3 linked regions of the Lonchura striata genome follow. The protein of the gene in region 1 purifies or fractionates together with the protein of each later gene. This does not show direct contact. Links are inferred from orthologs where the notes say so. Each region holds a gene or a part of one and is shown on either strand. Other genes may lie near its edges. The genes, in order: KDM5A, PHF12 and GATAD1.

Region 1 (9,804 bases):
TATCTAAAGAAGCTAAAGAAGCCAGTAATGAACCAAATCAACTCAGAGCTGCCAATCTACAGCCAATTGAAATGTTCCAGCTCACTACAATGACCCAGATATTTTCCAGTATCTCTCTGATATTCTGCATATCCCACCATAGACACAATAGACACAAAAAGAAAAAAAAAAATACTAGAAGACATTTTATCAGCTTTTCTCTGCATTTTATTAGCCCCTCTAGACTTTCCAAAACACTTGACTTTCTTTAAAACAAAAATATACTCATTTACATTTTTACTTACCTAAGAGAAATAAATCTTGATTGGGGATGGAAACTGATGCACTAACCTAGAAGCACTAGAACTACCAGAACTTCGGTCTTTTCCCTGCAAGAAGAAATCTACCTATTTATATTTATTAGCAGCTAAGTCTATAATGGTACATACATTTTGCCAGTGCAAAACAAAATTCCAACAGAGACTTGTGCATAAACTTTGAAAGAAATTTGGTGCGTTCACCAAACATAACTATGGAAACATTCATTTCTAGCCAGCCTTAAGCCAAGTCTGTTTTGGAAATTAAATAAGTATTCCTTGAGCTGACATTATATATTTTCAGAGACACGTGTTTATAAAAACCTCTACTGGAAGAGAAGAAGGAGAAATTGCAATAAATCATTACAGAATTGTTGATCAGAGCTGAAATGAACACAAGCATACTGCTGCCTTCCCAAACAACACCTCAAACTCCTGCAGCTCTACCACATGTAAGAATGGAGAACTAGAAATCAAGAGGCCAGCTGAAATCAGAACACTCAAGCTATACAAGCTAATAAATACCTGGTGTATGGAACCCAACCAATCCAACCAAAGGTAACTAATTTAATTACACTGCGAGAGGTCTGCCATAAATATTCAAATTAGAAATGTTTTTTTCATTTAATTTTTCCCACTTATTTAATCTCTGAGTTAATAAGATTAGTGCTGTAACACAAGTCATTCCTCTTGCTTGGCTTCTTGAGCTTGAATGAAAACTAAAATCCCTGTCTGCCTAAGGTCTACAAATACTTACCTTGCTCAGACCATACAGATCCAGTATTTTTCTCTCAACCACAGGGATTTTTAAATTGGATCCTTGGAGTTCCCAAAATTTTGCTAACTGATCCAGGAAGTCCAGTTTCACTCTTGTCATTGCCTGGAATCAGTAAAGGTAGACAATCACGTATGTTCAAAACCAAATGTGGCAAAATCTTACAGTCCTGAGAGAAAACAAGGTAAGTTTTTATAGTGTTTCCATTTTCAACATGGAACTTGCCTGGGAGGTATTTCTTTATCAGGTAAAAAAACCCCTAAAAATATAAATTTTGTTTAAAAAAACACTTCACAAAAAGAAAATTACATATGCTTTTCTCTCTGCATTTAAGACACTATAAATTAAATTCCTACCAAATAATTTCTTGGCCTGAAAGCAAAATGCATGCTTATGAAATGATCATCATTCCAAGCAGAAACACAAGAAAAATTATTGTGACCCCCGCCAACAGTCACATTTGACTGCATTTGACCTGAGGCTGTGGAGAAGGCTTCCAAAATAGAATGATAAAACTAAGATTATGGGTGTGTAGTTTGAATAGAAGTGTGTAATATCACATGGTAGAAAACTTAGAGCTTTAAGTTTTAGAACACAGTAATTAATATAAAGCAAGAGAGAGGTTTTTAGTCCCTCTTTACCTTCTTCTCCATGGGTTTGGGTGGTATAATGTAATCAGATAAAAAAGTCCACATTGTGGGCCACAGGTGGTTAGTTATTAGGTTAAAAGTAAAAATAATTTGTGTCATTTCTTAATTAGAGATTAAAAGGCCTTGTAGAGAGAGAGATATAGCTCCATGTTTTTAGTGTGTTAGAGTGAAGTGCTGTAGAACTCATGGCTTGTGAGACGGTAACATAGATAAGAACTAATAAACACCTCAGTCCAAACAAGAAATAGCATCTCAAGCTTTAATCCCAACCATGGCAAAAAGAAGTGGTGTCCTGTGTGAACAAGACAATTATCTGTGGGGAGGAGGGGAATTACCAAGTTTTTGTATGTGCCAGTTTTTATATATTCCTTATCCACACAAAGGGTCTCTTCTCTGAAGTATTTCTGGAGTACCCAAATCACTTTCCATAAGGAGACCCATTTACAAGCCAAATGACATTTTGGTAGGTGAACAAAGCAAGGCTTTGAGAGATGTTGCAGAGATAAGGAAAAATCAGGACAGAATGGAGGTCATACTGCTCACTTAAGTTTTAAAATCATAACATTATCAGCTATAATAAACCTATAAAAATAATTTTAAGGATTAAAAGGCATTATTATGACAGTATGAGGTAACCAGAGGTATCAGAGCAGCAGGAAATATTTTAAGAGGAAAAAATCATTGCCTGTGGAGCTCTGAAGGCTAGATACTGGCTGCTCTTACTAAACACATGATATTTGGAATTCATTCTAGACACTATCAGGTGAATGAGAAAAACTCCTGTGGTTATTTTGGGGGAATAAAATAAAAAACAGAATTTTCTCAAAGCGAGGGAGGGTTATTTTATACAAACTTTGCCACTGCCAAGTATAAACACTGATGTGGTCTACAGGCTTCTGAAGTGTCCCCCATCCAGAAACCTGGCAAGCTGCAAATCTCAGGCAGGAAGACCTCTTTCTTTCAGTGCAAGCACAAAATTATATCAACAGTGAAAAAGCTCACCTCCAGTTCATTCAGGCGCTGAATTCGTGGAGTGAAACGAAAACTTTGTACTTCACATGCAAATGGAGGCTGCCAGTCCTAAGCAGAGACAGAAAGACATTTTACTGCTTCCAGAAACTTCTCTGAAAAATGCACAAAACCAAACACCCTAATAATGCCTCAGTAAACAAGCTTCCAATAGTAAATTAGTTTCTCAGAACAACCGGTGATATAATTTTCCAATTTTAAGATATTTTCTGCTTATACAACAATGTTCCTCCCACCACATTTTAGTTTGAATAAAGATCCTCACAGATTCAAAAATGTCAAAGAAAATAAGGTTCAAAGCATCTCAGTATGCATTACCTCATGCTATGCTTAAACATGAAATACACTCTTTAGCTGATCGGTTATTTATTTACTTTAAACAAAGAATCCATATATCCTGCACACTGAAAAATCCTCAGTGTCAACAGCAACAAAGGCTAAACCAGGCATATCATAACATATCTAAAGGTTTTCTGCTTGTCTACAGTCATTTCAATAAAGACAAGACCACAAGTTGTGAGCCCAATTCTTTAACAGAAATGGAGCCATACATAATGATTTTCTCAGCAACATCAGGGGTCCTTGCAACTACAAGTGCCTCCCACTCCCATTTCTCAAACCCTGTTACATCAAAACAAGAAAATCAGCTTTTTAGCACTTTTTACCAAAGCTTTAGTTACAGCAGAGCATCCACCTGGCAGTGGCTACACCAGAAGAAGGACACGCCATTACAGGTGGACAAGCCACATAATCTGCTGCAGCATGTAAAGGCCTTGAGCACAGCCTTAAATATTTACAACTTCTAATAATAGAAAATAGCAATTAATCAGTCAGGGTAGTATGAAATGTCTGATTTAGCAATTATTGCAGACTATAAATCAACCCAACACGTGCATCCTGTGAAACCCTGAAAGGCAAGCAGCTCAGCAGTCTCAGAGAAACGCAAATGCATCCAACAGCCAGAGAAGTTTCAGTTATCCTCAATGAACAGGATCTGGATCTGTTCCTTGTGGGCTCTCAAACTGAGCTATGCAGCTTATTTTAGAAAGGGCAGCCCCTTGGAGGTCAAGTTTTCACCATGTCACTAAACTAACTAAACACATTCCAGGAACCAAAACAGGTCAGGAGAGAACCAGGAAATCCAATCAGCAACCCCCATATCTACACTGTTCTCAGTTACACACTTTCTTTTCAGGTTTTTACCTCTCTCACTGTTTTCAAGTCTCTTATTAACAGCTGCATTTGAAGTGTATTTGTACTCTAATAACTCACTGATGTAAGTGCCTTTTGCCAAGCTGCCTGAAGCTCTCCCTGTGATGACCCGCCTGGTCACTAGGCAGGTGACCTGTAACTCCCAAGCCATCGGAGAGATTAAGCGGATACCTCCCGAACAGCTGTGAACAAACGTAATGCCCGCACACCAACAGGTTGGCCACCCTCCTCTTAACGGTCTAAAAATTGTGTTTATGAACAATGATACAAAACGAACAAATACCCTTCCCTCTCCCTCTTTCCCACCCGGAGCAAACGCCCGATTTCACCTACAAAGCCTTCCCAGCTTTCACAAGTCGACTGCTGGCGTTTTGGAAATAAAAATAGCACGAAGTCCCGGGCACCACCACGCACTATTCGCTTCTCAGCTGCTCCAAAGCAGCCTCTACAAAGCCCCGCTCGGAGGTCAAAGATTCTACAGGTTCCTCGGCGTCCCTGGCACGGACACCGCGGCCTAAGGAAAGCGACACACGAAACCCCGAGTGTGTGCGGAGAGGGGGGGACTGGCCTGTCCAGCTCCTCACGTCCTCCACCCGGCCACCGAGGGCCCGGCCGCTCTCGGACCACCCGGGGATCCGGCAGGCGCAGCCGCCAAGGCGGGCGGTACCTTGGGGGGCCGGATCTTGCAGATGCCGGTTTTCTCGGCCAGGCCGCGGATGCGGCCTATGAAGCCGAGTGGGTCGCTGAACTCCTCCCAGCTGGGCTCGAATACGGGGCACTCGGGCGGCGGCACGAACTCGGCCGCATAGCGCGACCCGCCGCCCCCCGCCATGGCCGCAGGGGGAGGGGGGCGCCGCCGCCGCCGGGAGCGCAGGGCGGAGAGGGATGGCCGGGGGCTCAGGGGCTGGGCCGGGGACCGAGGCGCATCCCCTGGCGGCGCTGCCGGGCGGGGCGGCGGAATGTGCTGCCAAGCGCTGCTGCCGCTGTCCCGGCCGGGACCGCTGCCCCCGCCCGAGCCCCGCTCCTCGCCTCCCAGCCCGCCGGAAGTGACGTCCCTTCTACGGCCTCCCGGAAGCTCTCGCACGTTGCCTTCCGATCCAAAAAGTAGTTCCTCCGCAGCGCTTCCTCTGCCGAGGTGGCTTCCTCGCTTTCAGCTCCCGGACAAGCCCCCGCGACAGAGCTCAGGGCAAACCGCCCCGCCCGCCGCCTCTCAGGGCACTGCGCCGCGACAGGAGGGACCGGGGGCCGGGGAGGGCGGGGCCACCCCACTTCCGCCGCGGAGGAATGTGTGACGAAGTGCGAGCCATTCTCTTCCGGTTCCGCGGGGCCGCGTCGCCCATTGTCTGTGCCGGACGTCAGGAGCGCCGCTGGAGGCCCCGCCCCTCCCGAGCCCCGCCCCTCACGGGCCCCGCCCCCTCATGGGGGCCGCCCTCTCACGGGCCCCGCCCCGAGCTCGCCCCCGGCAGCGGCGGTGACGGAGGGAGGTGTCGGAATGGGGAGGGAGGCGCAAGTGTCACAGAGTCCGGCTGCCTGCCCTGCACAGCACATCCCCAGTCACACCGTGTGCCCGAGAGCGGTGTCCAAATGCTCCTCGAGCTCTGGCAGGCTGGTGCTGTGCCACTGCCCTGGGGAGCTGTTCCAGTGCCCAGACACCCTCTGGGGGAAAAACCTTTTTGTAATATCCAACCTAAACCTGCCCTGGCACAGCTCCAGGCCGTTCCCTCGGCTCCTGTCAATGAGAGATCTGTATCTTTTACCTATCTGTTGCAACACGGTCTTCCAAAGTATGTTTTTTTGTGTTCAACCAAAACTGTGCCTTCGCTATCTACCAAATGCCACATTTCACTCTATTCTTACTGATTATTCAAACCTCCGTGCTGGTGTTCTGTTTCAGCCTCAGAAAAAGTTTATATCCTGAGCTGGAAGGGACCAACCAACAACGGTCATCAGGGCCAGTCCGTAACAGCAGCCTATCTTCTGGACTTTGCCAAGAGAAATTATCTACCCTGCTATTTTCTCTATTTCATGAGAAAATTGATTTGAAGAAGAATCACAGAGTTCTTCTCTCTGGAAGGGACCCACAAGTATCATCAAGTTCAACTCCTGGCCCTGCATAGGACACTCCAAGAGTCACCATGTGCCTGAGAGCGTTGTCTAAATGCTCCTCGAGCTCTGGCAGGCTGGTGCTGTGCCCACTGCCCTGTGGAGCTGTTCCAGTGCCCAGCCACCCTCTGGGAGAAAAACCTATTTGTAATATCCAACCTAAACCTGCCCTGGCACAGCTCCAGGCCATTCCTTTGGCTCCTGTCAATGGTCACCAAAAAGAGATAAATGCCTGTCCCTCCTCTTCCCCTCACAAGGAAGTTGCAAATTGTGATGAGGAAGAACCTTGTGGTTTCTTAAATAAGCTTTTTTTTTTTCCCTTGTCATATAGAAAGTCCATGTCTTTTAAACAAAGTTATTGTAAAATGCAAGTGAACCCAGTGGGAAGAAATGATGATGTCCGACTCTAGTTCAGAAGGCTGAATGATTTCTTTATTATAACTGCTATAATACATTAATATACTATATAAGTAAAACTACAAACCTACTTGTTCTAACTACCATATCTAACTCACTCACAAACTGTGACCCTGTTCTTGAGAGTTCAGATGCAGGTGGATTGGATTGGCCATCAGGCTCAAACAATCCTCACCAGAATCCAATCAAGGAATCATTTCAGGTAAACAATTCTCCAAGCACATTCCACAAAAAACAAGGAGCAGAAATAGAAATTGTTTTCTCTTTCTTCCTTCTGTGCACCTCTATGATAAATCCTGAGACGGAGAAGAATGTCCCTGTGACACAAAGTCTTAAGGAAAAAAGAACCCTAGCTTATTGCTGAGCAATTTTTTTTTCTCCAGCACACTTAATAAATTAGGAAATCGTTTGGTGCATAAATGGCAACACTACTACTAGGTACTACCGGGAATACATGAGGAGGATGAGGAGGCTAAAAGGCAGCAGGATGACCTAAAGAACACACTCAATTCAGTCAGAATTTGTGCCAGTAACTTCTTGTGGCTGCTTCCGAATGCCAGGTCATTTTCAAAGGAAAAGGGGCGTTTTTGCCAGAGCGGATAAAGGTTGCTGTTATTTTGCCCGCAGCCCGACCCGCTGCTGTCACAAGCGCGGCTCCATAAGCACAGGCCCCCGCTCCTCGCAGGCCCTGTGCCCACCCCAGAACTACAACTCCCAGACGCGCCGGCGCGGAACCGCTGACGCCCGCGACGCGAGCGCTGATTGGTGCAGGCTCCCGGCGCCGCATGGAAGCCTGTCTGTGATTGGAGGAGGCCGCGGGGCGGGCTGTGGCGCCGTTTAAGCCGCGGCGGGGCCGGTGTGGCGGTTGCTCGGCCGTTGGGGCCGTGCGGAGGCGGTGGCGGTGGCGGAGGCGGGACCCCATCCCCGGACCTCTATCTCGGGGCTCTTCCATCGGGGATCCCGCCGGGCACCCCCCTCGCCCGCCTACCGGGGTGCCCAAAGCCGCTGTCCCCCACCCCTGAAGGGCCCGGCTCTCCGCAGGGGCACGATGAGCGCAGCGGACCGCGCTGCGGGGAGCCCGCGCTGCGCAAGGTAGTGAGTGTGGGGCTGCTGCCGCCGGGACAGGCGGCTCCCGGAGCCTTTCCTCCCCGCCTGCTAGCCTGGCTGGCCCTGGGGCACCTTTAGGTCTGCCCTGTGCCTGCTGTGCGTCCTTCTTCCATCTTTCAGTGTCTGCCGCTCTTGAGCAGTAAAGCGCTCACCTTGTGCCTGGGTTGCCTCTTTCTTTCTAGTGTTGTTTCTCTAAGTGCACTGTTTAAGGAGTTTCTAGTCCTACAGCAAGTTATGGCAGGCAATACTTATACTTTTGCATATTTAATGGTTTCTTACAGTGCCCAGGGTTTTTATGGATGTGCACTGGGGGTCTGATCCAAACAGGTTCAGTGAGTGGCTCCATAAAGGTCACCATTGCCTTAGTGTCACCTACCAAATCACTTTTTCATCAAAATTCCTGATTCTCCACGACCAGATTCTGAACTGTGTTCTTGCTAAGCACCTCTGTAGTCAAGAGGCTTCTTAGCTTCTGTTGTTCATAGTATCATTTACCAAAAAAAAAAAAAGTTTGTCATATCAATATAAATAATGGAAAGAATCCTTTCTAATGTTTATTTTTTTTTTTACTCTGCAGCTCTATTTACAAATTTGCTGCTTATTTGAACAGATTAAATGTTTGAATGTTCTAAATATTGTTTTGAGGAAAAATAGAGTATGTAATTATACATGTCCTTGATTTGATTTATATAGCATTGACTTGCTTTCCATGTAGCACTTCAACATAAGATTCAAGAACTTGGCAGCTTCTATTTCTGTGTTAAGGGTGGACAAGCTATGTGGAGAACATCAAGTACACCAGATAGGAAAGCACATAGATTCATAGACCTACACCTTACGTTATAAAGGCTGGTGCATTAGCCAGCCTGAATTATCATCTTCATTCAGTTGTTTCTCTTTAGAAAGTGTTTTTCTGTTTGGGTGTCCAATAGGGACTGTCATGGATTATGTTTTCCTGTTTATTTCACAGTGGCTGCTGCTTCTAATTTAACAGCAATGGACTTTTTGTCCCCTGAATTCTGACCTTCTATTATTTTTCTCCTCTTTCCATAGTCATCATCCCCAACTAATGTATGAGGCTTTGCTTCCATAGCATCTTTTTTTATCTTTTCCATCAGTTGGGCCCTCCTCCACATTACACCTGCAAGCTGCTCTTTGTCAAAGGTCTTGGTTCTCCTAGATGCTGTGATCTCTTGTTAATAACTAGAGAACAGTCAAGCTAATCTGTGTTTTAAACTGAATCTGTGTAAAAGTTTAAAATCTTTTTAGCTACTTCAGAAAGTGTTTTAATTTTCCTGTCTGAGGCTTACATATAAGCAGAGACTCTTTCTGTCTAGGATGCCAACCCCCCGTGCCTCTTCCAGATCTGCTGAATCCCGGTCTCCAAGTCAGGAGGACTTTACTCCTCTCCCGTCGGTCAGCGAGCGCTTTGCCCACCTGAACCCCTCTCATGATCTCCTGGAATATTACCGCAAGAAGATTGCTGACTTTGATGAGGAACATGAGGAATTGGTAAAAAGGCTGGAGAAATACAAGCAAACCTATGATGAGCAGGTTAGGAAATGAGTTTTTGAGCAATGATGGGCTACATTCACAAGCTTAGTATTTTTATTCAGTTGAAAACTCGGCACAGAAGTCTTGGGATTTACCAGCAACATAGGGTAGAGCTAGGAAGACATAAGTAGATTTTGGTGGTTGGTTTTAAAATCTAGCTGTCTGTCCTCTATCAAATCAAATAGAAACATGCCTGTAAAATGTCCTTCAAAAATCATTATGGCTTGGTTATATCTTCACAGTGGGAATTTTGCCTTTTTTTTTAAATATTAAGATTTGACTTTAGGTGCTCATTTCCCCTGTTGTCCAGCTTCTTTCCCTTGCTTCTTGTATTGAAGGAATGTTCTTTTGTCCAAATTTAATAGGTTTTGACTTATGGATATAATTCATATTTACTGCAGTGCAATTCATATGCTTGGCCATAAGCTGTTAAGCAGAAATCTAAAAATTTGCCTTTTAAGAGGAAGAAATCTTAAAGAATATCTTGCAGATATTCTTTAAGTGCAGTGCCCTGATATGGGCATGTATCTGCCTAGCAGTCATCTTTGTAGTTGTGGATGGTTCTTTGAGGAGGTGCCTCCTCAAGCACTGGCCATGCTTGAAGCAGCCTGAATGTCCTTGGGGAAGTATGTACTGTACCTCTTACTGTTATGTGGGAAAA
Region 2 (9,804 bases), on another chromosome or scaffold:
AATCTCACTGGTACAACTTTGCTGAGCAGAGCTGCCAAGACTGATCATGTTACCACATCTGCAGGCGCACACGCAGTGACCCTCTGCTGCCAGAAACTCAGCCAGGGCAATCACTTCCTCCTGCCTCAGGATCCAGCCTAGGCTGGCCCCAAGTCTCCCAAAATATCAGAACCAGCGACACATAAAAACAAAAGTCGGGGTTTTTTTAAAAGCACATACTTAAACCAATATTGTTTTAACAAAGTATCGGTGAAGATAGATACATTTAAATGTTGGGAACAGAACAGCTTACTCTGACCTTCAATATGCAATTACATAAACATTAAAGTAGGGGTTTGCCAATCATTTACTGTTAAAAAAACCCAAATAAACAGAAAGCCTCATAATAAAAGCTTCCTCCACTTAAAATGACAAGCTTTTTTGAAGCTGTGATGTAATTTGATGTACTGAAACCCGTTCCTAGGCACTATTAGGTAAGAAGTTTGCCTCTCCAGCATCTTCCTGGACATCCTGCTACTCCTTGCAGCAGGAGATGCCTCAGACCATTCTAAGATTCACCTGGAACACCTGAGGCAGGCCCAAGATGACCATTAATGGAAGGATTAACTGAGACAACAGACTGGCCATTGTTTTTCTCCACTCACAGATGGCATATTCATGTAAAAATCCAAAGCTGGAACAAGTCAACAGGGCATTTTAGGCCGAATAAGGTGAGGAAAGAGTTATTGATGCCCTACCAGCCAAACACAACTTTTTTCCATTCTTTGTTCGAAGCACTTAAAACAAGGTGACTCATAGAAAATACCAAAATGCTAGTTTAGCTTCCTCTGCTGCACTTTGCAGCTCTGTTACTCCTGTTCTTTGACACCAGCACTTGGGTGAAGACTGCCAAATCGGAGGGGAAATGAGCCAAACACTGCAAATATAAACACAAGGAGGTGCTGCAAAAAGTTTGATGGAGGTAGCAGGCCCTGGTACGGACAGAACACACTTCTCCCAGCACAGCAGTGAGGAAGCCCAGCTACAAGGAAACGTTTTGCTGAGCCGTGCCACAAAACTGGCACTGTCATTTACGTAACTGGTGAGCTTTAAGGGACTGAGGTCACTCTGCCATGCCAGCAGAGCTGCACAGCCAGCGGCATGAGATTTTTACAAGAGGGACTTGAACCGCAGCATTCAGCGAGGTTTGTGCTTTTGGGCTCCTCCAACCAGAAACTCAGGCAGGGAGACTTTTTAAAAAAACAAAAAGAGGGAGAAAAAAAAAAAAACAAACACAAAACTGTTCTGTGTTGGTTCTCCCTCCTGTTGTCACTCCCCTCCCCCAGCTTGTTAACTAAACTTTTCCTCTCCCGGGGATCTTTCTAATCCTTCGTAATGAATTTGCAACATCAGTCACTTTGCAAACCCACTTCAATGTGAATCAAGTTTACTACAAGCTCAAGAAAACATAGGGAATTCTAACAATCACATTGCCAGAAGGAGGATATAAATGGGAAAGAATAGAAGTAGCACTGGAAAATTGGTTTTCAATCATGTAAAGAAGGAGTATGCACCATTCCTGGGGGCCTGGGCTAAGGCAGAACATCAGGATGGAAATGCACTCTGCACTGTTACCCAAAGCAGCAGATTGTGGGCAAATAGCAGAACAAGACAACAACTTCAGAGCTAAAAATCCCATGTCCTGTTTTCAAGAATTCCTAGGGACCCAAAAAACCTTCCTCTGTAAATTCAAACTTGAAGAGAGTCACCTGACTGTGATATTAATCCAAGTATGTTGAAACTAAGTATCTGGCAGGGATTTCACACTTTCCTGTATCCCTCCCACCAAGCCAGTTTATCTCCAGCCAGGCTGGAGTCCTCTGGCTTCTCAGAGCACCCATAGCAGCTTTCCTGAACTAGTGACTCCAAAATGGAGTTGTGGGAAAAACTGACACCCCAACAGATGAATTGGGAAGTCACTTCCACCCACGTCAATTCAGGAGAGCAGTCGTTCCACAGTGTACCAACAACACTTGTTATTTACCATCTCAGATGTGTAATACTATCAGACTCCAAACGTTTCCGGAGTTTTGGCCTCTGCCTTCTGTTTTCCACAGAGGACAACGGGTTCAAGTGCTAAACTGAAGTTAAGGCAAACTGCTGAAGTTTGAGGGTCACACACCTAGCAAAGCCAACTTACTCACTATAGCCTTAAACATCTTGATACAGAAGAACCTTCTCTACACAGGAAGGAGCAACACAAGTTCCTGCGAAGCTGAGCTGGGTTTGTCTCCAGCTGACTGCATGACTTGAGCCAATCATACCCCTGAAAATCCTTTTCTTTTGTAATATGGCCTCTCCCAGACAGTTGAAATCAACTGCTCATATACCCTAGACCAATTAAAAGCTACTTTTTTTTGTTGTGCTATACTGATAATAAATTCAACTTGGTACTAAAGCTCACAATAAATATTCAGAGAACAGGTAAGTTGTTGACACGAATCAGTTAAGAGTGCTCCAGCAGGGCTATTCAAGTGACTTAAACCGAGCCTTCCAGTACAGCTACTATTCTTTAAATAAAAAAAAAAAAGGAGGCAGAAAGGAAGTTGCAAGAGCTGCCTTTCTTTATGCCTAAGTTTATATCCAGAATGGAAGTTTACTTTCAGCAAAGTGTAGGAGGTAATAGGAAGACACATGAAAACAAAACCTGAGCATTCCTTTGAGACAACCTAGGTCACCTGAAGGCCATAGCCAAGGGTCCAACAAAGGTTCAGGAGGAGGGAGGCAGAACCAGACCCAAGCTGGAGGCCTTTAGACAAAGCCTTTCCACACTGTGCCACCTCCCACAGCAGGGTCTGGGCTACTGTCAAAGGGATTGCTTGAGAAACCCCAGAAGAGGCAACAAATGGAGTGAAAGAGAGTATTTAGAATTGCTCTTTCACTTCTGTTCTGAAGAGTGACTAGTTAGCCAAAGATATATATATGTATTTTTTATACAATATTTTTATATAAATTCTTATACAATTATAATGCAACTAGCTCAGGTACAGTGAAAGCTTTTCAGGTATCTGATTTACCTGGTTGTTCCCTACTCACTAACTACAAAAACAACGCCAACTTAAGCCATGAAATTTAGGCAAAAAGTGGTGTCATTTATGGTCAGACTTAGCTAGGATTCAGAGTTAACTCTGCAGCCTTAGGCACAGCTCTTCCATCCCAAAATGGGAAGTTTCAGCCTCGCTAGGAGAACGCTCAGGACGCGTTTGGCTGCATCCAAAAACAACTACGCCCGGCAGAAGGAAAAAACCACCCTTAAATTAAAACTCATCAAGGACACTGGATGAAAAATAATGATAATTACTATCCTGCTAGGAAATATTAGAGGATCTGCACTACCACCAGTAGCACTTCCTCAGGGTAGGAGGGATGATGTCATGGCTGCATGCTACAGCATTGTCGGCTTTGCCTGGCTACATGCTGCTAACGGGACACTCCCTACAGGACTGTGACCGCACACTCAGCTTCCCTGCTATCAGCAACCAGTTTAGTAAGTGTTCTGAGACCCTCAATTAGCATAGAAATACAGAATAGCCAGCAAGCAAATGGAAATCAGAAAAAAAAAGCAAGGAAAAAAAAAAACAACAGAGAGAGGAAAAAAAGCGCAGAGGAGACAGCTGTAACAGGGTGGCAAACAAAGCTCCAAAGCATGAAAGAGAGAAAGGAATGTGGTTAAAAAATCTCCCCTAAGGAAGAATACTCTGTACTCCCAAGCTCCAGCTGTTTGACTTGCCCCGCTCCCTCCTCCACTCCATTATCCTCTCTGGCAGTGCTAATTTAACACAAACCGCCCGCCTCTGTCAACTGTTGAAAGGGGGGATTTCAGGATGCATCCAAGCTCCGGGTGCAGAAAAAGGAAAAACTTTGGGGCGGAAAGTTGAGGCGCTTTTGGCGTGGTGTCGCTTTGTGCGGGGAGAGCTTGGGAAGCTGTGAGGGAAGGCAGCAAGAGCCCATCCTGCTGCAGCCTCCAGCACCTCGAGCTCTGCCACCGCTTCCACACGCACCTCGATTCCCAGCCGGCAGCCAGATCTGCATGCAGAAAGCTCTGCCTTCATCAACAAAGCCACACAACTCCCAGCAAGAGCACCCGGCAGCCCCCCAGTTCACGGCAGACACCCCCACGGAGCAGGCAAGCAGGTCGGAAGAGCAAGGAGGAAGAGAAAAAAGGAGGGAAAGGAATAAACCCGGCCAACGTTAAAGCCTGGAGGCCTGGATTTCCACGGGGAAGGTATTTTCACGTTTGAGATACTGTGGGGAGTGTTGCGAGGGTTTGGAAGTCATATATGCAGCCAAAATGGCGCTGAGAATAAAAATATAATTTAAAGGAAGGTCGCCATATTGTAAACAGTGAGGCAGGGAGACACAGAGACAGCAACCTCCATTATTCCCAGCAGCTGCAGCAGCACGGAAGCGCTGGGAACGTCAGGCCTGGTGCGGAGACGCCACCAGGGTTTCCCCCTCTCCAGCTAGAGCCCTCCGGAGGGTCTCCCACAAGCCAGGCACCCTTGGAGAGGGGGGAGTGGGGAAGGTTCCCGCTGGGGAGGGCGGAAGGCCGGGCAGGGGCAGCAGCAAGGCAGCCAGGCCGCGCAGCCAGCGGCCTCGCTCCTCCTCCAGGCCTCTCGCCCGCTGCTCAGCACAAAAAGAAAGGAGGAGGGTGGACCCCCAACCCTCCAGAAAGCAGCCAGAGGAGGGTTCAGCTCGGCCGCCGTGGGTTAAGTCTGAGGAGGGATGGACCGAAGCGGGGTTTGCACCTCCTTTTTGTTCCTGTCTGCTCCAGCCGGCCCCACGTCCCCCCCCTCCCCGGGACCTAACGGGAAGCGGGAGCGGCCGGAGGGAAGGTGCTCTGGGCAGATCCGGAGGGAGAGAGCGCCAAGCCTTACCAGCACTGGAGGTGGAAAGCGGCGGGGCAGTGATCGCAGCACAGCAGATCCCCTCCTTCCTTGCAGCTATCGCAGCTATCGTGGTTAGTGGCCCTGCCACTTCGCCTGGGCTCCTTCTCGGGCCTCCTGCTCTTCTTCTCCCCATCTTCGCTCTTGGGGGGAGCCAGGAGGGCCTGGATTTGCTGCACATGCACACACAGACAGAGCGGGCTCTGAGGGGCTGCACGGACGCTGACCCAGCGCCCTTCTCCCCGAGCCCACCGGGGGGACAGCGACCCCGGGCCCTCCGGGAGGGGATCGCGGGGGGGACAGAGCCCCGGCCGGGCCCGCCCCGCCCGCCCAGTGTCCGGCAGGGCCTCTCCAGGGGCAGGGCGAGCTGCCTCCGTCCCTCCGCACTTCCTTCTAAGGCCACGGGGCTCCGGGCTGGGGGGGTTCCCTCGCCATCTGCCCCCCCGGCCCGGCTCCCCCCGCCGCGTCCCGGGCCTCACCTCCATCAGCCCCCCGGAGGTGTCCAGGTCGTAGACGATCGTCTTGGTCTCCATCTTCTCCCACATTCATCCAGCCCAGGAGCGGCCCCGAGAGCCCCCCCCGGGCGAGAGGGAGCGAGGCGGGGACGTGCGGCGGCCCCTCAGCGGCGGCTCCGCGTCGAGTCGGCGGCGGGGGGGGGGGGGGCGCGGCGCGGCGGGGGCGGGCGGGCGGCGGGGCCTATCCCACGGGCCGCTGCGGCTTGCGCGTCGCCCTCCTCCTCCTCCAGCCGTGCCCGGGGGCGGCCACGGGGGGCCCGACGCCCGCTGCCATTGCCGCGCAGGGGGTGGGTGTGTGAGGGAGGGAGGGGGCGGCGGCCCGGCGCCCGCCGCGGCCGCTCGCGCACCGCGCACGCCCCGCGCACAGGCGGCGCCGACGCTCCGGGCCCCGCGCGCACGCGCACTCCGCGCCCCCGCCCCGCCCGCCCCGCGCGCGCCTGCGCGCTCCGCTCCGCCTCCCGCGCGCGGACCTGGCGCGGCGGCGGCGGCGGCGGCGGCGGGGGGGCGGCGGGACGCACGCGCAGTGGCTCCGCCTCCCCGCGCGGCTCCGCCCCTCCCCGCCCCTTCCCCGCCCCCTTCTCGCGCAGGCGCGTGGCGGCCGTCACGTTCCAGCGAGTGGGCGGGGCCACCGGGGACGTCAGTGACGTAACGGCGCGGGGCGGGGCGGCGGGGCACGCGCCCGTCGGCAGGGGGCGCGCGGCGCGCGGCCTCTCTCGTGACGTCACCCCGGCAGAGACCACGCCTCTTAAAGCGGCAGTGCTCCCCTCCCGGAGCGCACCGGATAGGGGGCGTGGGGGTCGCGGTGTCATGGGGGTCGGGATGAGGTGGGCTCAGGGCCCACGCTGGGGTGGGGTGGGGGGGGTATGTGTGGGTGTATCCCCGTTCCAAGCTGCCCGGCCCCGCTGAAGAAGACGCCATCGCTTCTTCTAAAACACCATTTTTTATTAATGAAACAACCAAAAGATGGGGAGGGGGGCGGCGTCCCCTCCAGACCGAGGGGGCGGCGGGGGCCGGGGCCACCAGCCCGGGCGGGACGCGGCGGTGGGAGGCGGCACAGCCATGCCCGGTGTCCCTGCCCGCCCCGTCACTCCGGGTGCCGGGACGCGCCTTGGGGACACGCTGGTGGCGGAAGGGACCCCCCCGGTGAGGGCGAAGCAAGCGGGGGCCGGGGGGACACGCAGCATGCTGGGGACACGGGAGGGACACGTCCCTGCGTGGCGGCGCTGGGAGACACAGGGTCGTGGGGAGACCAGCCCTGTGTGCTGGGTGGGGGGCGGGGGGACACCCACATGGCCACCCAAGCCCCTCGGCCACCCCCGGGGCTTTGTCCCCTGCTCGCTGCAGCTCCGGGGAGCCCTGTCCTTACCTGTGGGTCCCCAGAGCGCCGCTCCCCCTGCCCGTGTCACTCCTCCGCCGCACGGACTGTGGGGCTGCTGCTTTCCCCCTGCGGGGTCTGGGGGAAGGATGGAGCCCGAAGGGCAGGGCAGGGTCCGGGGACCCCCGCTGGCTCAGGGGGCAGGATGGGATCCGGGGACCCCCGCTGGCTCAGGGGGCAGGATGGGATCCGGGGACCCCCGCTGGCTCAGGGGGCAGGATGGGGTCCGGGGACCCCCGCTGGCTCAGGGGGCAGGATGGGGTCCGGGGACCCCCGCTGGCTCAGCCTCTCACGAGCCCAGTGCGGGGGGCTGGGTGACAGTGGGGCTCGGGCAGATCCCACGGGGGTCTGGGTGAATTGGGGGTGGCAGGGGGGTGGCCGGTGCCCAGGTGGGTCCTGCCAAGCGCTCGGCTTGAGTCTCCTTGGGAGAGGTGTTCCCAGCCCGTGCCGGGGGCCGGTGGGCACGGGGGGGCCCGGGAGGGGTGGCTGCAGCGCCCAGCTCCACGCTGCCCACACCTAGATGGACACCTCATATTCCCTCGTGTCCTGCAAAGAAAACAGACTGCAAGGGGCTGGACACTCGGCAGTGCAACGGGGTGCCTGGGACAGGGATTGGGCATCTCCCATCCCGTAGAGACCTGGGGGCACATCCCAGACTACGACAGCCCTGGGGATGCATGTCCCATCCCATCCATGGGTCCTGGATCAGCGTCCATCCTGTACATGGTCCTTGGATGGATATCCCAGATAGTGTGTGTGATCCCTGGATGGTTGTCTGAACCAATGTGTGGTGCCTAGATGGATATCCCACCCCACATGTGGTCCCTGGGTTGATGTCCTGTCCTGTGTGTGGTCCCCAACTGGATGTCCATCCTGATATACATCATCCCATGGGTGGTCTCTGGGTGCATGTCCCATCCCCTGTGTTGTTCCTGGATGCGTCTCCTAAATAATGTGTGGTTCCTGGAACACATGACCCCATCCCACACCCGTCCCAGCCCATGCACAGCCCCTGGCACAGGTGGCCCATGCAGTGCAGGGTCCCCAGGGTGCCCAGCCCCAGACGGGGGGCGTGGAGGCCAGTACTTACTCCTGTCTCATAGGTGGGATTGTCAAAAGCCGACTCCACGGTGATATGGTCATAGGGGTGGGAGCCAGCAAGGGGCAGCTGCAGAGCCGGCTTCCCCTGGAGCCTGTGGGGAAAGGGCAGCTGGGGTGGGTAGTGGGGGGCCATGGGGCCGCATGGGGTGACAGGGGCCAGCGGGCCACTCACTTGGAGAAGTAGAGGTAAATGCCCCCGATGAGCAGGGCCACCACCAGCACGGGCAGGAAGACAGCGATGGCAACGTTGGTGCCCTCCAGCGTTGTCCCCGAGGGCACGGCCTTGGCCACAGCTGTCCGAAAGGGACATTTGGGGGCTCACCCAGGGGACACCCCACATCGGCCGCACCCTGGGTGCCCCTCCACGCTCTGGCACCCCAAAACACCCTCGCCCTTACCATCCAGGTTGCGGTTGCTGTAAAACTCATCGTAGGAGGCTGGAGGAGGCGGGAGAAAGAAACCAACACCAGGGGTGAGAAGTGGGGTGCTGAGCGGTGCCGGCGGGGTGCCGGGGTGGGGGGTGGTGGTCTCACCCGCCTTGCAGATGGGAGGGGAGCCGCTCCAGCGGGAGGGGTGTCCGGGCAGGCAGCGCAGGCTGCTCTCGCCCAGCAGCGCCCGGCCGGCGGTGCAGGAGAAGCGCAGGGTGGCTCCCGCCGGGTACAGCCGCCGCTCCGGGCTCTGCCGCCCGCCCGCCGGCACGCCGGGGTTGTGGCAGGGCTCGTAGGTCTCCGCTGCGAGGCAGGGGTACGGCGGCGTCAGCGCTCGACCTCGGCTCGGGGGATATGCCCGAGGAGGGGACACGCAACTCACGGATGCACTTGGGGAGGCGGTCGCTCCACTTGGGTCCCCCCGCAGCGCGGTCATGGCAGGTGAGGGTCCCAGCGCCCGCCAGGACGTAGCCCTTGTCACAGACGTACTGCACGGTGGCTCCCACCGGGAATTTAGGGTTGGAGACCACCCTGCGGCTGTGCTCAGCATCCCCAGGGTCCCGGCAGGTTGTCACTGCAGGCAGGAGTGACCGGTGGTGACAGCAGCTGGGGATGCGCTGCAGGGCAGGGGGTCACTGGTGGGCACCACTCACCCCGCTCGCAGGAGGGCAGGTCACCGCTCCACGTCAGGTCCCAGTGACACATCAGGAGGTCCGTGCCAGTCAGCTGGAAGCCGGGGTAGCAATGGAATGTAACCACAGTGCCATGGAGGAGCTCTGGCTGTGAGGACGTCTTCCAGCCATTTGCAATGTCTGGCAGCTCAGGGCAGGTGTCATTACGGGGAACCTCTGTGGGCATGGAAGGCTGAGCAGGGCAGTGGGGACACTGGGGACACCAGGGGTGTTGTCCCACCACGGGCCTCACCGGAGAAGTGGATGACAAAGCCCTGCCTATAGGCAAAGGCACCGGCACCGGGGTCGGACTGGAACTGGACGGTGACATCGGCAGTGGATGCGTAGAGCTTGAAGCGGCCACGGGCGCCCGTGTACTGGCCCAGGATGCGCGCCGTCAGGTCGTCCCCGTCGTAGAAGGTCAGCATGTCCCCCGAGCCCAGCCGCAGCCTGGGGCAGTGGGGCCGTGAGGGCAGGGAGTACACAGATCCACCATCCCACCATCCCCATCCCGGCCCATCCCAGCACTCACACGCGGACGTCCAGCATGATGCGCTTGTCCTCCTCCACGTGCAGCCCCCAGATGCAGTCCTGGCCCTTGCCGTATGCCTCTGGCCAGTTGGGTGACAGCACCACTCCAGCCGTGTCCGTCAGCTCCCCGCTGCACACCGCTGTGGGCACACACCGGGTTTGGCACCGCCACGGGGCACCTGCCACAGCACCCGCATCCCGCACCCACCATGTCCCTCAGCTCCATCACACTCAACAGCACGGTGGCTGCAGTATCTC
Region 3 (9,804 bases), on another chromosome or scaffold:
AGGGCACTCCTCCCACAAATGTCTTGCAATGTGTGCCTCAGGGCACAGGCCACGTGTCTATTGTGGTACTCAGTATTTTATATATGCTCTGTGGCTTTTAGGTCTTGGCTACAAGTTATATCTTTAGAATTAAAATGCCTTGATGAAAATTACCGTTGGCTGGTCACAAAACTCTGGAGCTCAACACAAGGCCGTAAATTCAGTGGCAATGTATCCACTCACAGTCCAGTGATACAAATATGAAACCTACCTACCTTTTGGCATGGGGAATTACCAAGCTAGAAGACAGAAATGGGTGAGCTCAGCTCCCTCAGCTGCAGGGCATCAAAGCCTGTCCCTACAGGATCCTTTGATATTCTTTCTGCTGTTGAGTCCATTTTGCTGGTCTTCATTTTGTCCTCCATTTTCCTAATATGAGAGAGATGAAGAATTTTCAGATATGTTGCTCTTGGAGGTCCCACTCTTCAGCTGTGTCCATCCATAAGAAGTTGTCTGGAGAGTCAATCATTCTCCCTGTGTTACTGGGTGATGTTCTGAACACAAGAAAAACAAGACAGTGCAACCATTCAAATACCTAAAAATGAAGTTTAACACTTTAGTAACAGTCACTGCCTGCAGATCCAGTCTCTTTTGAGACCTTACACTCAGAATTCTTGTTAATCTGAATTATTTTTTAACATTTCCTAGTATAATAAAAACTACACTAAAATAAAAGTATTTAGTGTTTACTAAAGGAAGTTGTTCTATAGCTCTCTGAAAAAAAATATTTTTGTCTGTTTAGACTGCAGTTGGAACCATAATACTTGAATTGACAGCAGCACTGAATTTTAGAAAGGTATATTCTGTAATTTTCCCTTTTATATTACAATTTATTGACAAATAAGGCAAATGGCAAAAAGTACTTTTCATTTGGTTTGAGTTCCTTGTAGGAACTCAAAAAATCAAAACCATGTAGAGCATTGTTACTCCTATGAGGATTTGACAATGAACTAAGCTTCATTGGACTCAATGACCATCAAGGCCTTTTCCAACCCTGGTAATTCATATAAGGTAAGACAGCCCACAGAAGAAGACAGGTCCATGGATTATGCTGAGGCAGCACAGGGATTTTAGAGTGATCCCAAGTGAAAACCTTGTGGACTGCAGTGAAAGGAAGTCAAAGATTTGAGTCAAGGGAGTCACTCTGGTTACTGTAAATATAGGACTTGTTATTTTTATTTTCTTGTAATTGTTAATAAAGAAATAAGAAGAAAAAACCCAGAGAAACTGAAAGGAGAGAATGGAGAGAAGTGATGTCAACTTGGGATTAATCAATGCAACACACGGAACATAGGCACACATCTCATCTTTCTAAGCTACTGAAGACTAAGATTTAACTCTGTATTACCGATCTACTGCTAATTCCTGAGCATTTTGAATTATTGACAGTATCCCTTAATTTTAGCATCTACTCCCCTAAGGCTGATTGTTCTTCCTTGTATTTGAAGAGGGCAGAACAGAGGCTGCAGGCTGAAACAAATCTGTCTGGTTCCTGCCCTCACAGGTCCCACTGTATTAAAAGTTGTCAATACCTGAGACTTTCAAATGTTACATGTTAAATCAAAGCCTTTCATAAAGTTAGAATATAAGCCTAGTGCAACATTTTAATGCTTTCATACAATACCCTTGGAATTCAAACCATACAAGCACATCTCATTGTGTTTGGAGCTGAATGGCTTGTAAAAAGTTTAGGGCAGAAAACTTCGTTGGTATTTTAGTATGTGGCATTGCTCCCATTCTGCTGTTTATACACATTCCTTGTCATGCTGAGACTGTCAATACATAAAATTAATTAATTTTTATTTCCCTTACTGATTTTTCATTTTAATTGCCTGACTTTTTTTTTTCTTACCATCACTAATTGTGAAGACTGAAAAAACAATTTAAAATCTAAAGCTAACAAGCAAACAAATATTAACAGTCTGAAACTCAAATCATGTGTCAGTGTTGGCTTGCTCAGGAAATGCAAATACACTTCTGCCATAAGGATGCCAGGATGGCAAATAACATTAATTTTTGAATTTGCATCAAATTTTCCAGGAAATTTATGCCCTTATATAAGTAAGTTTAGCAGAAAGCTACACACATAGGCCAATTACAGATTCAGATCAACAAAATTCCATAAAAGGTGACTGTTAGCGTCCCTCTTTACGGATGAGGTTTCAGTCTGCAGAAATCCAGGAAGATCACTTCTCTCCATGTAACAGAAAACTTAACTGCATCACTGACCATTTCAGGATTTAGGTGAAGCTAGTCTTAAATTATTTTACAAAAACCAGCAGTCACAGTTAACTAAATTAAACAGTTATATAAAATGCTGGATGATTGTATCTTTTAAACTCCTCTTCTGGAAAATAACTTAAAAAGTAAGAATGAATGCTACAGACATCAAAGATGACATGAAACTTCTGGTTTTGTCCCAAGATCAGCAATAATTTCTGAAGAGCAAAGCACTGAAATGATGCATCAACTGGAATGAAAATTTTCACTTCAAAGGTCTGATACATCTGAAAAAAATAAATACCATAATCCTTAAAAAAACCCGGCACATTTTATAATTTTAAAACTTTTTGTAAGGTGTTTACAAATTGGAGGATACAAACAAAAGAACTAGTCCAAAGTATTCCTTGAAAACTATAAATTATTGGCTACAGTTTCTTTAATGGAGATTGCAGGAGTAGGTCCCACATGAGTCCATATATAGCCTTTCTCTGGCCTTGTAGGAACAGTAGGGAAGGGAGATGATCGAGATTTGAAATATTCTGAAGGTGCATGACAAACAAATTCTAAATATTCCATTTTCCTTGGGAGATCTTCTTCTGGTCCTAGAAAAAAAATTCAAAGACATAACTTGGAGACATAAAACTAAGTATGTTGAATAAAAATATGCCACAACAGCCAACATTCCCTTACAGAGCTTGCCCTTGCAATCCATGACTTTCCTCCTGTTTTAGGCAATAAACCTCTACCTTTAATTTTGCTGGGCTGATCTTCCCCCCCATCCCATTTGAAGCATTCTGGTATTTGAGTGGACTATTGTAGTTAACATATTTAAAATACATTCTATTTGTGTTCTGCCTGTTAGAGGGACTTTTCTGAATTCCTTATTTTATCATCAATAGCAGAACAGTCTCTATGCTGGTGCTATGTATTTTGAATACCCAGGATAAAGATCAAGTAATTCAGGTCACTTTAAAATAAGCAACTTGGACTAGTATATCAGAATCAAAGTTACTATGGTTTAAACATAGTAGTAATAGTTTAATCAATAGTAATAACAGTAATAATAATAATAAATAATAGTAATAATAGTAATCAATAATTTGATCCTTAAAGATGCACAACTGTAATTCTACCCACAAACACTCAGATAATCACACACTACAATAGTGGTAATCATATTATATACACAAGATAAATAAAAAGTCTTATTACAGTAAATGAGATGTTTACAAGATTAGAGTCTAAAATGTGGAACTTGCATAAAATACCTTGAGAAGCTAAAATGCTGATTTAAAAAATACAACTCTGCATTAGCATAGGCACATCCAAGTAGTTGCATGACGTGAAGGCTTACAGATTACCTATGATGTAGGATGCTGGGTCAAAACAGTCTTTGGGGCTGGCTTGGGTAGGAATGAGCCAGGTTAGTGCAGCACTCTTTTCACAGTATTGGTCCTGAATAAACCCACGGATCTGAGCGTAGTATGTTCTTCCATCCTGCTCATCAACCACTGAAACAACATCTCCAATTTGGTAGTATACACCCTAGAAGACATACAAATGGCACTGAAATCAAACAACCTGATTTTTGTCAGCTTCACATCCTGATTCATGTATTAAGTAGCAGTACTCTAAATTATCCTAATTTATTCCACTCTTGAAAGGCAGCTTCAATTTAGCCACATGCTAAAGAATGGTAGCACAAGAAAGAAAGGTGGTTATTTTCAAAACATATAAAAAGAACACAAACAATCCCAAACAAACTTATTCACAACAACACTGCAAAGTATCAAAGTAGCAATGTTCTACATAATGAGAACAGAAATTTTGACATAGTTCTTAGGAATTTCTGATAAAAACAGACACACATGACAGTAATTCTTTTCTGAACTGGTCAAAAGCAAACGAGATTCATCTGGAATGCCAGGCATGAAACATCAGGTCCCTGGAGAGTATATGGAATCTCACACCACCACTGGCTGTGTAGTCTCCCACTGCCTATTCTGACTTTTTTGGAGAGGAAGAGGGTGAAAAAACATTCTGTTTGCTTATACTGCTGGGAAACAAAAGCAAATTTGAGTGCTTTAGAATACCAACACCTTGGCATGCTGGTAAAGCTGCTCTCAAGCATGAAGGTGAGAAGGCTCCTTCTTGCTTCACTGCAAGTGCCAACAGATCTTGTTCCCAGGGTGTCTGAGACTGCTTGCACCAGCTCTCAAATGGGAGCCAGCTGAGATACTGGGGCACTGCAACCCCACCTCTATGCGAAATATATTCTGCACCTAAGACAGCAAATATCAAACAAATCTAAATAATCGTCTCTAGTCACCTGACCTCTGCACAGTGCAAGTTAAGTTTAAAAATGCTGACAGCAATAATTACAAAAAAAAAAAAAAAAAAAAAAAAAGTACTTTTGCTTGGAAGAGAAAAACCTGGGAAAATGGCAACTATTTAAACTTAGGTAGACTACCTTGCAAGACTTAATGGCAATAACTATGGCAAACCAAAATCCTACACAACTGTTAGGCAAGGAAGAACAGTTTCTGTGATTATATCTCTAGTGCTTTCACTGTCCATGATAATTCCTAACATTGGAAACAGAAACAGGATAATAATTTTTGCAAATAGATTTGCATAAACCATACCTTATAAAAGATTGATTCTGCTGTAATTATAGTGGATACGGACTCAGGAGCCTTGATTGGCTAAGAAAAGAATACAGAAACAGAAAATCAAAAGCATTAAAACAAATAAACCATAAAGTTCCAGAAATGGATTTTTCTTTTAGATAACATACAGATACATAAGAAAACTAGCAAACACTTCTACTTTAAAGCTCAAAGCAACAGAGCTGACGTTTCCCTCTCCAGGATTTATGTGGAGAAGCGAGTGCTGAACTCCCTGACCGGTTTCTCTTCCCGCTGCTCCCGCGGGCTCCATGTCCAGCCCAGCCTGGGGCAGGCTCCCGACCCACCCGCGGCCCCGCCTTACGTTTTTTAGTTTGAAGATGTGCCGCCTGCCCTTGCCCTTCGTGGAAACCTTCTTCTCCGCGGCGGGCGCAGACTTGTACTTGGTGTTCCTGAGCCGAGCGGAGCGGCGGTGGATCTCCTGCTTGCTCTGCGGGGAACAGCGGGATGAACACAAGGGGGACGGCCCGAGCACCCCGGCCGCAGCCCCGCCCGGCCCCGCCCGGCCCCGCCGGCTCCGCCACCGTCGCCCTCGGCCTCCTGACCTGCTTGCCGCCGCCGCCGCCGCCGCCGCCGTTGTTGCTGTGCTGGGCGGCGGCCGCCGAGGTGGTGGCGAAGGCGGCGGGGGGCGGCGGCGCCGAGCGGGCCGTGCAGTTGTTGCACAGGATCTCGCCCTGCCCGCCCTTCTTCCACATGGAAGAGGACGTGCTGCGGCACACGCTGCAGGTGGGCTTCAGCCCCAGCGGCATGCTGAGGCCGGCGCGGGGCCCGCGGGCCCGACAGCGAGCGGCGGGAGCGCGGCGCCGGCCGCTTCCCGGCGGCGGCGGATGTGGCGCGGCGGGCCGGGAGCGGCGGGCCGGGAGCGGCGGGGCCGGGCCTGCCCTCTGCTGGCGGCGGCGAGCCCGGCCCGGGACGGGCGGGGCCCGGCCCCTCAGGGGCTGCTCCCGCCTCGGCCGGGGCCGCGGCGCGGAGAGCGCTGGCCTGTCGGTGCCGGCGGGGTCGGAGGCGGGCACGGGCGGCCCCGATGGTGCAGCTGGGGCTGGTCAGCCTGGAGAAGGTCGTGTGGAGACCTCGCAGCACCTTCGGCGTCTGAAGGGAACGTCCGGGGGAGGCAGAGGGACTCTGTCAGGAACAGCAGTGGCAGAACAGCACAGGGGAGAATGGGTACAAATTGAAAGACGGAGCATTTAGATTAGATATTAGGAAGAAATTCTCTACTGTGCATGTGGTGACATACTGAAACGGGTTGTCCAGGGAGGCTGTGAATGCCTCAACCATGGCAGTGTTCAAAACTGTGCTGGGTAAGACCTTTGCTGTGCAAGACCTGGTGTCGTGGGAGGTGTCCCTGCTCATGGCAGGGGGGCTGCCACTAGATGATCTTTAAGGTAGCTTCCAACCCTTAACATTGTGCTGCAGAAGCCACCTCTGATGCTGTTGCTGTTTGCAGGGGATGCCAGGTGCTGTCATTCAAGGATTTACAGCTGTCACTCTTCTGGCTCAACAGAAAATCAGGGAACTGGAGATGGACTGCAATGATTGTCCTGATTCAGAAGAAAGTGTTGGTGAATGTTAACCTCAACATATGCCAGTTTTTGCCTTCATTTAGATTAAATATTTTGAAAAAATCCTCTGCTTGTAAGGTGGTGAGGCACTGGAACAGGCTGCCCAGAGAAGTTGTGGATGCCCCATCCCTGGAAATGTTCAAAATCAGGTTGGGTGGGGCTCTGAACAACCTGCGCTAATGGAAGGTGACCCTGCCCATGGCATGGGTGGTTAAAACTAGATGATCTTCAAAGTCCCCTTCAAACACAAACCACTCTATGATTCTATGCCCCTCTTGCATGAAGCCTCAGTTACGTATCAAGTAGTTTAAAAGGCTGGGGAATGAACATGTGCCTTTGTGAAGCTTTGAGAACCAAATGTAGTAGGAACCATGGATCTAATAGTGGTTCCTCACCTACTGCCACTCACGTGGCCATGGGCCATCCCTTGTAGAAGTTTTTCTAGTCAGATATTATGAAAGAAATGCCCAGTCATGCATGAGGATTTGCAGTCTTTTAATTCCCATATTCAGTTTATTTAAAGCTTCTTTGGTGCAAATGAAATTGATTTTTGTCTTGTCCTCAGTGGACACAAAGAGCCATAATTTGCAGGAATCTATTAATACATGTTCCCCTCATGCAGCATGCAGTGGATGCAGGGTGTGCCTGTGTTGCTACTGGCTCACAGACAGCTACGTTTAACCTCTTGCATGCCTCTTTCACACCAAGTTTGACTTTCTTGTCTCAGGCACCAAATTTTTATTCCTCAATTTTGATTTAAATCTTCATTTGCCCTCATCTCTTTTCAAGCTGTTTATACTTACCGGGTGCTTTTTTTTTTATTTTTTTTTTTATTTGTTTTCTGTTTCTTTAATGCATCTCTCTGTAGTTGTATTTTGCAGATCAGTGATCTCTCAGAACCCTTAAGTTCTTCCCACTTTTTTTTTGTAGCGTCTGCCTGCTTTTGTTCCCAACCACCCACCTCAGGAGTCTGGGCCCCTCTGACTGCCATCATGTTGGCAGAGCTTCACTAGTCTGTGTAGAAATGGGCTGGAAATGAGTGACAATGTCCATTTCTGTCGAGGTAAGTATCCAATACTTTGTGAAAGTTTTTGTGAGTTTATTATAATATTTATTGTTAATGGAGAGCAAATAAAAATTGCAATAGTTGTTTTTTTCTGCTCCAGTTCTACCATCTTCCTGACTCCAGACTGCTAACCCCTTGATCTTTATGAAATCATGTGCAGGGTCTTTTCTGTCACAAATATAGAATATGTGTGGTTTACATATATGTGAATACTCTTAATATGCTACTGTATATTGTTGATAAATTACCCACTGTGATTATTCTTTCTGCTTTTAAATAATAACTTGAATTTAAAAAATCCAAATGAATAAAGCTTAATCTTTAAGAAACGTAATCTGCGGTGGTAGTTTAAGATAATTAAAAACTGGTTTAGACAACCATTTTTATGTTGTCAGAAAGTTTTAGTTTACTATTTCTTGACAAGTGTGGTTCTGTCAGTTCAATAGAACCACAGTAAAACAACACCTTGAGATTACAGTGTTCTTGGTATGATTATTCTGTTGGCCTTGTGCAAAATCAGAGGCAGGGATTGCTGTCAGTGCAGTTTGTTCATCCCTACCTCACCTGGAAGGTGACACAAAGAACAGTGGTTATGATGTTTTGTCAGAAATTACACCCAGCATGTCAGCTATCTTGGGCAACAGCTGAAATGTTCTGAGAGTTGCTGAATACCTGGTAGTTATGGGTAGGAGAGGTGGGGCTCAGGACTTTACTTAAGTACCTTCTTCTCCAGAGGATCCCAAGCCTTACAACGTCAATCCCAAATTCTGAGCATCCTCTTCAGTTTCCTGATTCTCCTTAACAGAACTAGCCTCTCTTTGGAGCTGGAGTGGGCTGACTCTGTCTGAGGCCTGACTGGAAGTGCCTGATGCAGCTGAGGCATTTTGTGCTGTGTAAGCTCAGCTAAAGTTGCAGAGTAAAAGTTCTCTTCCAGTTAATGTGTATTTTCAGTTTATTTTTCCCGCAGTAAAAGAAAGGGCTGCCCTTGGGAGTCATCAGAGCCCGTCCCTGCTCTGTGAAATTTCCAATGTAGACTCGACAAAGAAGTGGAGGAAATAAAATGTTGGTTCCACCTATGGATGGGGACTGTGGCAGGCACACTGGCTGTCAGTAGAACTCTTTCTCCCCAGGAGCTTTCAGTGAGAATGGTTTTTATTGGAAGTGATGCAAATCCGTACATACTGCTCATTTCCTGCTTCAGTAGTTGAATTGTTCTGCAGTGGATTTAATTGCATTGCTTCCTCCTAGCTTCTTACTGCTATCCTACAGTCAGCTGGCTCACAGCTGAAGAATCCTTTATTCTTATGTGTGTGTCACTGTTCCACAGTCAGCTGCAGAGGATGCACATGGACTGCTTCTCCAGAAATATTTGTGTTGTAAATGCATGAAACTGGGTATAAATCTGATGGATTGGTGCACTCTGGATTTCCACATGGTTATGTTCTAAGGTTCTGTACTTAACAGCTTTCTTTTGAGAAAAGCAGTTTTTATTCCCTTAATTCCCTGGGCCACAACTGATGTTAATCTTGAGATGTGTTACACAGTTATTACTCGCATAAGTAACATGCATCTGTCTTTGCAGCTTTTGGGTCTTAATTACTCATTCAAGCTTGTACTAGAGCCAGGAATTCACCTGGATTTTGTGAGGTTTTTGGGTTTTGGCCCTCGTGAGGGACATGGGTAGGTAAAGCAATGACAGAGATGACATAAAATGATCATGAGTATTTGGTTCTTTCAAGGCATGTTGAAGCTGTCTCCTGAGCCAGACAATTGCTTGTAAAGAAACTGGCTATTACTGTGTCCATGTTTTGGCTTCTCACCACCCTCCCTGACTATTACAGTGGGATGCCTTCTGTGAGGGTGCTGAGGCACTGGAACAGGTTGCCCAGAGAAGTTGGGAATGCTCCATCCCTGGAAGCGTTCAAGGCCGGGTTGGATAGAGCTCTGAGCAGCTTGGTCTAGTGAAAGGTGTCCTTGTTCATGGAAGGGGGATTGGATCAAAATGATCTTCAAGGTCCCTTCCAACCCAAACCAGTCTGTGATTCCATGATCTTGGCATGCTTAGTGGAGGAAGTTGATGATGTAACTGTAACAATGAACAAAATAGTTTAGTGCTACTAATGTAACAGAGGCACTCTGGAATTTCCAGAGTGGATATTAAGTGGCACTTAAGTAACACTAATTAACAGAATCTTTCACAAAAATTAGCCCCCCCTCTTTAGCACCA

What was found.
Region 2: the proteins of KDM5A (region 1) and PHF12 purify together in Homo sapiens (affinity purification with mass spectrometry; 3 studies listed by BioGRID and IntAct, with this or other methods). This does not show direct contact. The link is inferred for Lonchura striata from reciprocal best matches to the Homo sapiens genes KDM5A and PHF12.
Region 3: the proteins of KDM5A (region 1) and GATAD1 purify together in Homo sapiens (affinity purification with mass spectrometry; 6 studies listed by BioGRID and IntAct, with this or other methods). This does not show direct contact. The link is inferred for Lonchura striata from reciprocal best matches to the Homo sapiens genes KDM5A and GATAD1.

Annotation. Positions count from the first base shown.
Region 1 is NC_134607.1:11,875,569-11,885,372, forward strand, and holds the start of KDM5A (lysine-specific demethylase 5A), read right to left. Parts: upstream 4,860-9,804; 5' UTR 4,795-4,859; coding exon 4,630-4,794; intron 4,237-4,629; exon of another isoform or gene 2,802-4,236; coding exon 2,724-2,801; intron 1,241-2,723; exon of another isoform or gene 1,177-1,240; coding exon 1,054-1,176; intron 1-1,053. Other genes in the region: CCDC77 (coiled-coil domain-containing protein 77), read left to right, coding at 7,531-7,574, 8,927-9,143. UniProt on the Homo sapiens protein: Histone demethylase that specifically demethylates 'Lys-4' of histone H3, thereby playing a central role in histone code. Does not demethylate histone H3 'Lys-9', H3 'Lys-27', H3 'Lys-36', H3 'Lys-79' or H4 'Lys-20'.
Region 2 is NC_134622.1:7,573,487-7,583,290, forward strand, and holds the start of PHF12 (PHD finger protein 12), read right to left. Parts: upstream 5,580-9,804; 5' UTR 5,471-5,579; coding exon 5,405-5,470; intron 5,099-5,404; coding exon 4,917-5,098; intron 1-4,916. Other genes in the region: SEZ6 (seizure protein 6 homolog), read right to left, coding at 7,345-7,377, 7,906-8,008, 8,089-8,209, 8,315-8,353, 8,450-8,647, 8,727-8,918, 8,998-9,192, 9,269-9,465 and 1 more.
Region 3 is NC_134603.1:133,632,788-133,642,591, forward strand, and holds GATAD1 (GATA zinc finger domain-containing protein 1), read right to left. Parts: upstream 5,762-9,804; 5' UTR 5,699-5,761; coding exon 5,499-5,698; coding exon of another isoform or gene 5,495-5,498; intron 5,465-5,494; coding exon 5,254-5,464; intron 4,968-5,253; coding exon 4,908-4,967; intron 3,808-4,907; coding exon 3,624-3,807; intron 2,865-3,623; coding exon 2,674-2,864; 3' UTR 1,188-2,673; downstream 1-1,187. UniProt on the Homo sapiens protein: Component of some chromatin complex recruited to chromatin sites methylated 'Lys-4' of histone H3 (H3K4me), with a preference for trimethylated form (H3K4me3).